2 linked regions of the Oryctolagus cuniculus genome follow. The protein of the gene in region 1 interacts with the protein of each later gene in a pairwise test. Links are inferred from orthologs where the notes say so. Each region holds a gene or a part of one and is shown in the gene's direction. Other genes may lie near its edges. The genes, in order: RBM10 and RBM12B.

Region 1 (3,809 bases):
TTGATGAGACTGGAGGGTAGAACATGTAGGTTTTGTAGTCACTTCCCTCTCCCCTAAGAGGAAGCTGGGCTCGGCCAAGTGGGACCCGGGTCAGCCTTTAGCTGTGACTCGCTCCTGATGCCAAGGCCCCTGGGTGCCACAGTGGCGGCAGGTCCACCCTAGAGCCAGCTTTGGGATTCCACAGCTGTCTGTCCGTCTGAGGCCCAGTAGGAAGATGGAGAGCTGTTGCGACTCCTGCCCTCTTCTCAAGAAGTGCTGTGCCTAGTTGGGGGCGTGGCATCTATTGTTGTTGCAGGCCTATCAGAGGGCAGGCGCTCAGCGCCATCCCTCCTGTGTTTCCAGATGTTCCTTGAACCAGAGCGATCTCCTTGACGCCTTCCTCTCCTTTATCCCTCCCATCCCGTTGGGCACCAGGGCCCATTGCATCAAGCGATGGAAATTTCCCCTTTCCTCCCGTGCCATACCCACTCTCCTGCCCCGCTCCTGGAAACCAGCTCCAGCCACGCCACTCCTTCTCTTGCTCAAAACCCTCAACTTCAATTTGAAGCTGAAGATCCTCCATGACTTAGCCGTGTCTTCCCTCCCCAGCCCTCCCTTCCCCTCCTACATCAGCTATGGGAAATCCATTGTTTCCTCTGTTGGGTATCCCTTCCCAGCCAAACTAAAACTTATGGGCACCCCAGATCAGACATGCCTGCTTCTGTGCAGCCCTTCCTGACTGTCCCCAGGTGAGCAGCCTGTACCCCTCTCTTGGCTTAGTCTCCTCCTGAGCACCTCCCCAGCCCACCCTGGGTGGCAGTCTGTGATGACTGACCTGCCCCTCTGTGCTCCTTGGTCATGAGGGAGAGGCCCTGCCCTGTCCATGTGCGGCAAGGCCTGGCACAGAAGCAGTGCTGGGTACCTGACGCTGGAACAGATTTAGAATGTGGTGGAAGCCGGGAAGCCTCCGGAGGCCGAAATAGCCAAGGAAAGTTTCTCAGCAGTAGCAGGAGCCAGTGCGGCCCTGGAGATAGAGGAGGAGTTAGGGTCTGACAAGAGGTGTGAAACGTTGAAGGTTTCTGAATAGAGAAGCATGTTGCAGCAGCAGGAACCTACCGAAGGGACTGAGCAGTAGCCCCGAGGAGGCAACAGTTGTAACCAGTCGGGGAGCTGATGATTCCTGAGCTGGGACTGGCACTGAGGACAACTTTGAGATGTGTAAAGGGAAGATTCACAGGCCTGAGCGTGTGCCAGGAGGCTCCTGGCACCCCTAACTATAGGACCTTCCTGGGATGTTGCTGGGTTCCTTGGGGGAATCTCTGGATTCAAGTTTGGAGGGTGCAGTGCAAAGCCCTGCCTCCTCTGACGGCCTGGCCTATGCCTCACAGTGTGGTGTCCAGAACTTCAAACGCCGTGAGAAGTGCTTCAAATGTGGCGTGCCCAAGTCAGGTGAGGCCCACATACCTCTCCCCTCCCCCCCCAGGACTTGGGGTGAGTAGAGACTAAGGGGCCAGGGATTGATCGAGGGTTGGTTTGGGGAGGAAGGGGAGCCAAGGAGCCTCCCCATTTGTCAACAGCCCGTGTCCTACCTCCCCCCCATTCCTCGACAGAGGCAGAGCAGAAGCTGCCCCTCGGCACAAGGCTGGATCAGCAGACGCTACCCCTGGGTGGACGAGAGCTGAGCCAGGGCCTGCTCCCCCTGCCGCAGCCCTACCAGGCCCAGGGAGTGCTGGCCTCCCAAGCCCTGTCCCAAGGCTCTGAGCCAAGCTCCGAGAACGCCAATGACAGTGAGTCAGTTATTCTTCCCTTCTTTCTCTGTGCCCCAGGGTCTCTGGGCTGAGCCCATCAAGACCAGAGAAATGGTAGTGAGCAGAACGTGATCCTCACAAGAGTCGCTGGGTTGTCACCTGGTGGAGTGATAGGCCTGTGACATTGGATGAGCAAAGCGGTAGCAAGTTGGGGAGGGGGCAGAATGGTGGCCAGAAGTGTTGGGAAGATTTCTTGGTAGATGAACTTGGATCAAGCTGGTACCTGGACTGCTGGTCAATGTGTCCCCTAGGGGAAGCAGCAGGTGCACAGGGCTGGAGGCCAGGGAACAAGGCACAGTGGGGAGCCACCAAAGAGGGGCTGAAGCAGGCTGCCAGGGGTGCCCTCTAATGCTGAACCCCCTTCCCACAGCCATCATTTTGCGTAACCTGAATCCACACAGCACTATGGACTCCATCCTGGGGGCCCTGGCACCCTACGCGGTGCTGTCTTCCTCCAACGTGCGCGTCATCAAGGACAAGCAAACCCAACTGAACCGAGGCTTTGCCTTTATCCAGCTCTCCACCATCGTGGTGAGGGCGGCACAGGGGGGGGCCGGGCAGCCAGGGTCCCGGCCCCCGGGGGTGGGGAGGAGGGATCCTTCCCCTGCCTCCCACCGCGGTCCCAAGCCTGGAAATGGGGCAATGGAGCCGGGGGCCTCCCCGGGCCTGACCCTTCTGTCCCTGCCTCCCCTCCACCCGCACAGGAGGCTGCTCAGCTGCTGCAGATCCTGCAGGCCCTGCATCCACCACTCACCATCGACGGCAAGACCATCAATGTTGAATTTGCCAAGGGTTCTAAGAGGTCAGGACCCCACCCACGTCCTGCCCAGCTTATCCCAACTTGCGTGGAGCCTCCCATCTTACTCCCAGTCTCCACTGTCCTTCCCAGGGACATGGCCTCCAACGAAGGCAGTCGCATCAATGCTGCCTCTGTGGCCAGCACTGCCATTGCTGCGGCCCAGTGGGCCATCTCACAGGTACTCAGACCCCTCACCCCTCAGCATCCTGGCACCTGGGCTTTCTCAACTTTCCTGTGCCCTCTGCTCAAACGGAAGGGCTGACTTGCTGTCCATGGATGCAGAATGCTTTCACACTGGCTGGTGTGGGCCCCTCTCTACCTTGCTCTCGGCTCTCTAGACCCCACCCCTCATACGTTCCCTGTCCTCACCACAGCTGCTTCCCAGTCACCTCCTGGGCTGTCACTTCGAGCAGGGCCCTGGCTGCTGCTGTGTTCTATTGGGTGGGGCTTTTCATGTGTGTATATGTATGTACGTATGTATGTATATATATTCATTTATATTATTCTGGATTCATGCAATGTATTGCATACTCCATATTGAGGTTATATATATATGTATGTATGTATATATCAATGTTGCTGAATAAAGAGGAATTTATAAGTGATTGAGAAAAATTGGGAGAAAGAGAATAAAGGAGGATGGTGGCTTCCTTAGTCTAACACCCGACACTTGTACCGCACATACCAGTACCAGCACTGGAAGCACCTGGGTGTGCGTGGATTTTTTTTTTTTTTTTTTTTTTTTTTTTTTTTTGCAGTCTTGTTTTTGGTACTGCTCTGTTCTCTTGCGGCCAGTTATCTTAAGGCTGCATGTTTTACTGTCAAGTAGAAACACTAGCCCTATGTATGGGACAGCCGGCTTCTAGCAGGCTCCCCACCCCCACCTCCTGCGCCCCTTCCTATTCTAATGAGCCCCTCCCACCTGCCCCTCAGGCCTCCCAGGGTGGGGAGGGTGCCTGGGCCACCCCTGAGGAACCACCGGTCGACTACAGCTACTACCAACAGGATGAGGGCTATGGCAGCAGCCAGGGCACAGAGTCCTCCCTCTATGCCCATGGCTATCTCAAGGGCACCAAGGGCCCTGGCATCACTGGAACCAAAGGGGACCCAGCTGGAGCAGGTAAGCCCCAGCATCTCTTCCTGAGCTCATGGTGGGGGCCAGCAGGCAGGGGGTCTGGGCCCCAGCCTTCACAGGCATCCTCCTTCCCTGTGCATTTCCAGGT
Region 2 (4,348 bases), on another chromosome or scaffold:
AGTGGGACAGCTGGGTCTTGAATCAGGGCCCACATAGGATGCTGGCACTGCAGGTGGTGGCTTTACCAGCTGTGCCACAGCATCGGCTCCTCTTTTTTCTTTTTAAATTAAGATTTATTACTTATTTGGAAGGCAGAGTTACAGAGAGAGTGAGAGAGAGGTGGTGAAGACTGAGAGAGATTGTCCATTGGGTGGTTCACTTCCCAAATGACTGCAATGGGTGGGGGTTGGGCCAGGCTGAAACCTGGAGCCTGTAAGGACATCTGGGTCTCCCTAGTGGCATCTTCTGCTGCTTTCTCAGGCGCATTAACAGGGAGCTGGATTAGAATTGGAGCAGCCAGGACTCAACCAGGTCCTATATGGGATTATGGCCATCCCAGGCAGAGGTTAAACCCTCTGCAACAAAATGCCAGCCCTTGTTTTTCAATTTTCCAGACTGGCTCATCTATTGCTGCAAAAACAAAAAAAATAGAAGATGGCAACAATTTTTAAAATATATGTATGTATTAAGATTTTATTTATTTATTTGAGAGGTAGAGTCACAAAGGGAGGGACAGAGAGAAAGTTCTTCCATCCACAGGTTCACTTCCCAAATCTAAGCTGATCTGAAGCCAGGAGCCAGGAGCCCCTTCTGGGTCTCAACGCGGATGCAGGGGCCCAAGCAGTTGGTCCATCTGGAGAGCTGGGTCGGAAGCGGAGCAGCCGGGATTGGGATGCAGACGCGCAGGCGGAGGCTTAGCCTACCGGCCCCAGCAACACATTCATAAAGACACGTCGCAAGGTTATTAATGTCGGTGAAATCGATTAAGCAACATGCAGTTATTAAGCCCTCAGGCATTGCAATATTTGGCGAACTTGTAAGGCGGTAAAATCAACATTCCTGTGGCTTTTTAGAGCTTTCAAGTCTCAGAATGCTTACCCCACACGGTAATCGCAGAATTGACAAGACAAGAAATAGCCAACTTTTTTGTTTTTGTGTCTCTTTCTATAGCTCCTAGAAATCTTGAAAGTTTGCTCGCTGTACTTAGCAGTTAGCCGCTACAGTCTCATCACAACAAGCACTTGACCAACCTCGCCCTCCCTGACTCCGCCAACTTTGTCTCCGAATTTTGCCTTTTCCTGGCCGAGGCTCCGGGATTGGCTAGAATCTGGGCGTGCGCAGAAGCTTGGCAACACAAGGCTCCGCCTTCCCAGCCCTAACAACGGGAAGCGGGTGCGCGTCAGGGCTCGTGCGCAGGCGTGGCCAAGGCGCTGGGGTGGTGGGTTACGCCTGGAGAGCGCATGGGCAGACAAACTGTACGTCCGTTTGTCCGGACCGGAGGGGAGAGTGGGCGCCATCTTCTTGGCTCACTGAGGGTTGTACTTGTTCTGTGGAGGCTGCCGCGACGAGGAGACCCCGGCCCCCGGCCTTGTGTGTCCGACTCGGCAGCAGTGGTGTGTGTTTATTGCCAAGTGCGAAGCAGTTACCCTTGGGGCATGGGGCCGGGGAGGGGTTGGCGACCGAGACGGAAGAACAGGGAAAGGCGGGGCCGGCGGCCGCGCCAGGTTGTAGCGTAGCTTCTGCCGTTAGGGCACCCTCTTTTCTTGCTAAACACCAACTCTCCCTCTCCCGTCAGCCTCCATGTGGTGGTGTGTGTGCGCTTCCCAGCGATCTTGAGAGAAGATCTCGAAGGATTTCATAGGTATTTTTTTCTTTGCTATGTCATCGTAGTCGGTAGTGGCAGAAAAGCTCTGAAGGCCCAGCTCGTTAAGCTTGAGATGGGTGAAGTATCTCAGATTTGGGAGCTGTTCACCCTGTGGCGAGTTGGGGTGGAACGTTTGCCCTTGGGACGGCGTAACGGAGATGCACGGGGGTTGGGCGGTGCAGGTTAATTTGAAGGCTGATTTTGGCTGAAGGTCTGGCGACAGCATCGGATCCCACGTAGCAACTTTGGCCTGGCGTGAAAGAAGGAAGCTCTGACCTCTGGGAGTATGGACAAAGGCTTTGGGCTATAGAAGCGATGCCTTCGGATGATTACCATTTGAGAATGATGGATGTTATGGGAAACCCTGTGCCGTATGATGGATTCGTCTTCACTTACAGTTCCTATTGAGGACTCTGGCTCTGTGTGGTCATGCCTTTGGCTTTTATATTAACCATCTACATTATAAAAGGCAGATCATCATAAAGAATAATTGTGGACTGGGGGACATTATTTTCTGCAGGAGAAATTCGTATTTAGAATTTGAATATGCTTCATCACAACCTTGGGTTTTAAGAAATAATCACAGGCAAAAAGTAAAAGAATTTCTCTCCCTCTCCATGTTTGGAAAACGACTTTATTCACTATTTAAAATCCAATGGATCTGAGACTACACTACTTAAATCCAGTTTCCCTGTTTTCTGCTCAGTCTTAATTCATATTTTGCGTTATAATAAGTATTAAATGGGGTGAATTGCTGGATAAAACGAGCTGAATTACTTAAAATGTATTTTGAATTTCAGTGACTTACCTAACTTCAAAGGATCTATTTTTCACAGATGTTCTAACAGATCACTGTGTCTTTCAATCAGTGCGGAGATAAAAATACTTTTGCTTTCACATTAGAAAAATGTTAAGTGCAGAGTGCCTTAGGTTAATTTGTGTGTTTCGTTTTTTGTGTAATTTGCTGTTAGGAATATAGTTTCTGGTGAATTTTCTTAAGGAAATGATATTTTGAAACTGCAGGAGAAGTATTTATTTTGAGAGTTGGTCTCCAGATAGTCTCCTAGGTGTGTTATGGAGGGGTAGTACATTACCTTACTATCTCATGGGCAAAGACATTTAAGCATTAGATATATTTAACTTAACCATTAGGAACAAACTAGTCTGCCTGGAGTCCATAAGTTTTATTTTTATGAAACTGCTTAGTTACTGAGAGTTAAAATAGTTAAGAAGGTAGTTTTTAAGTTAAGAAGGATAAATTACTAGTTTTCTGAAATTGACATGATTAAATTATTGCTCAAAATCTGATCTTTGTCAATCCTCTAATTCATTTGTAGGTGAATTTTAGTTCTCATAGTAAATAAATACCTTTGCAATTAAAAAAATTAAGAGAGTTAATTTGCTTTTTTAAAATGTTGAAAAAGCAGCTAAGCCAGTCTATGCTTATGGGGGGGCAGTCTGGAACCTTAACATAGATACATGTTTTAGAAGTCATTTGTACTTTTTGTTGAATTGTTGGTGTGTATATTGACTAGTTGAAGAGAGAGGGCTTACACTGTTTCTTTCTTTTATGATACTGTGCAGATAAATTAATAGTAAACCTCAATATTTTTCAGATGTGGAACATGCCATCTTGTTATCTCTGTTATTTAGCTTATAGATAGTTTAATCTGTAGACTATTTTTAAAGGAAAATAGTCTTGCACACCTCAGTGAATATGTCTCAGACCCTATTTTGGAACAGTGGTACTGTAATTTGAGCACTGGACTAAAGCAACATTTATTTGCATATTAAAATATGTAAATTGTAGTTACTCAGTTGGCAGGTCTTAAAACTTGATTAATTAGCAAGACTTCAAAGAAAATGGGCAAACATTTGGCATAGATATTTGGGAAGCCCAGTTTCATATCAGAGTGCCTAGGGTTCAAGACCCAACTCTGTTTCCATTGCCAGCTTCCTGCTGATGTGCATTCTGGGTGGCAGGAGGTGATGGCTTAAGTAGTGGAGTTTGAGTTATGGGCTCTGGGCTTCACTGTAGCCTGGCCCTGGCTGTTGGAGGCTTTTGAGGAGTGAACCAGCAGATGAGAGATCTCAGTTTTTCAAGTTAAATAAATAATTCAAAAATACTTTGTTAGGTACTGTTAGTTTGGTTATCCCTGAAAGTAGTAAGTGTAAGTTTCCTTAAAAAGGTAGTAAGGGGCAGGTATTTTCAGTTTAAACACCTGTGTCCCAAGTTGGAGTATTTGGGTTCTATACCTGGCTCTGGCCTCTTTCTTACGTGAGCCCTGGGAAGCTGCAACTGATGGCTCAAGTATTTCAGTTCCTGCCACACACATGAAAGACTTTGATTGAATTCCCAGTTCCCAGCTTCAGCCCCCCCCACAACGCTGGCTACTGTGGATATTTGGAAAGTGAACCAGCCTATAGAAGCTGTCTCAAATAACTAATGAATTGAAAAAACACCAAATTTAGTTAATACTGGTAAACCTGGTATCTAAAATTAATGAATTTTTATATTGGGTTTTCTCAAGAGTATGGATAGTTGTTCAAAATTGAGTAAGTCTATTGTCATAGAAAAATTTTGGATCTCAACATTTTCTATGTGAGATGAATTTTAATAGTTACTGTGTTAGGACTATAAGAGAGAAATGGTGTTGAGATTT

The links.
Region 2: the proteins of RBM10 (region 1) and RBM12B interact in a two-hybrid assay, tested with the Homo sapiens proteins (3 studies listed by BioGRID). The link is inferred for Oryctolagus cuniculus from reciprocal best matches to the Homo sapiens genes RBM10 and RBM12B.

What each region holds. Positions count from the first base shown.
Region 1 is NC_091453.1:32,712,195-32,716,003, forward strand, and holds part of RBM10 (RNA-binding protein 10), read left to right. Parts: intron 1-1,367; coding exon 1,368-1,428; intron 1,429-1,589; coding exon 1,590-1,766; intron 1,767-2,157; coding exon 2,158-2,318; intron 2,319-2,491; coding exon 2,492-2,589; intron 2,590-2,676; coding exon 2,677-2,764; intron 2,765-3,519; coding exon 3,520-3,706; intron 3,707-3,807; coding exon 3,808-3,809. UniProt on the Homo sapiens protein: Binds to ssRNA containing the consensus sequence 5'-AGGUAA-3'. May be involved in post-transcriptional processing, most probably in mRNA splicing. Binds to RNA homopolymers, with a preference for poly(G) and poly(U) and little for poly(A).
Region 2 is NC_091437.1:119,183,416-119,187,763, reverse strand, and holds the start of RBM12B (RNA-binding protein 12B), read left to right. Parts: upstream 1-1,281; coding exon 1,282-1,434; exon of another isoform or gene 1,435-4,348.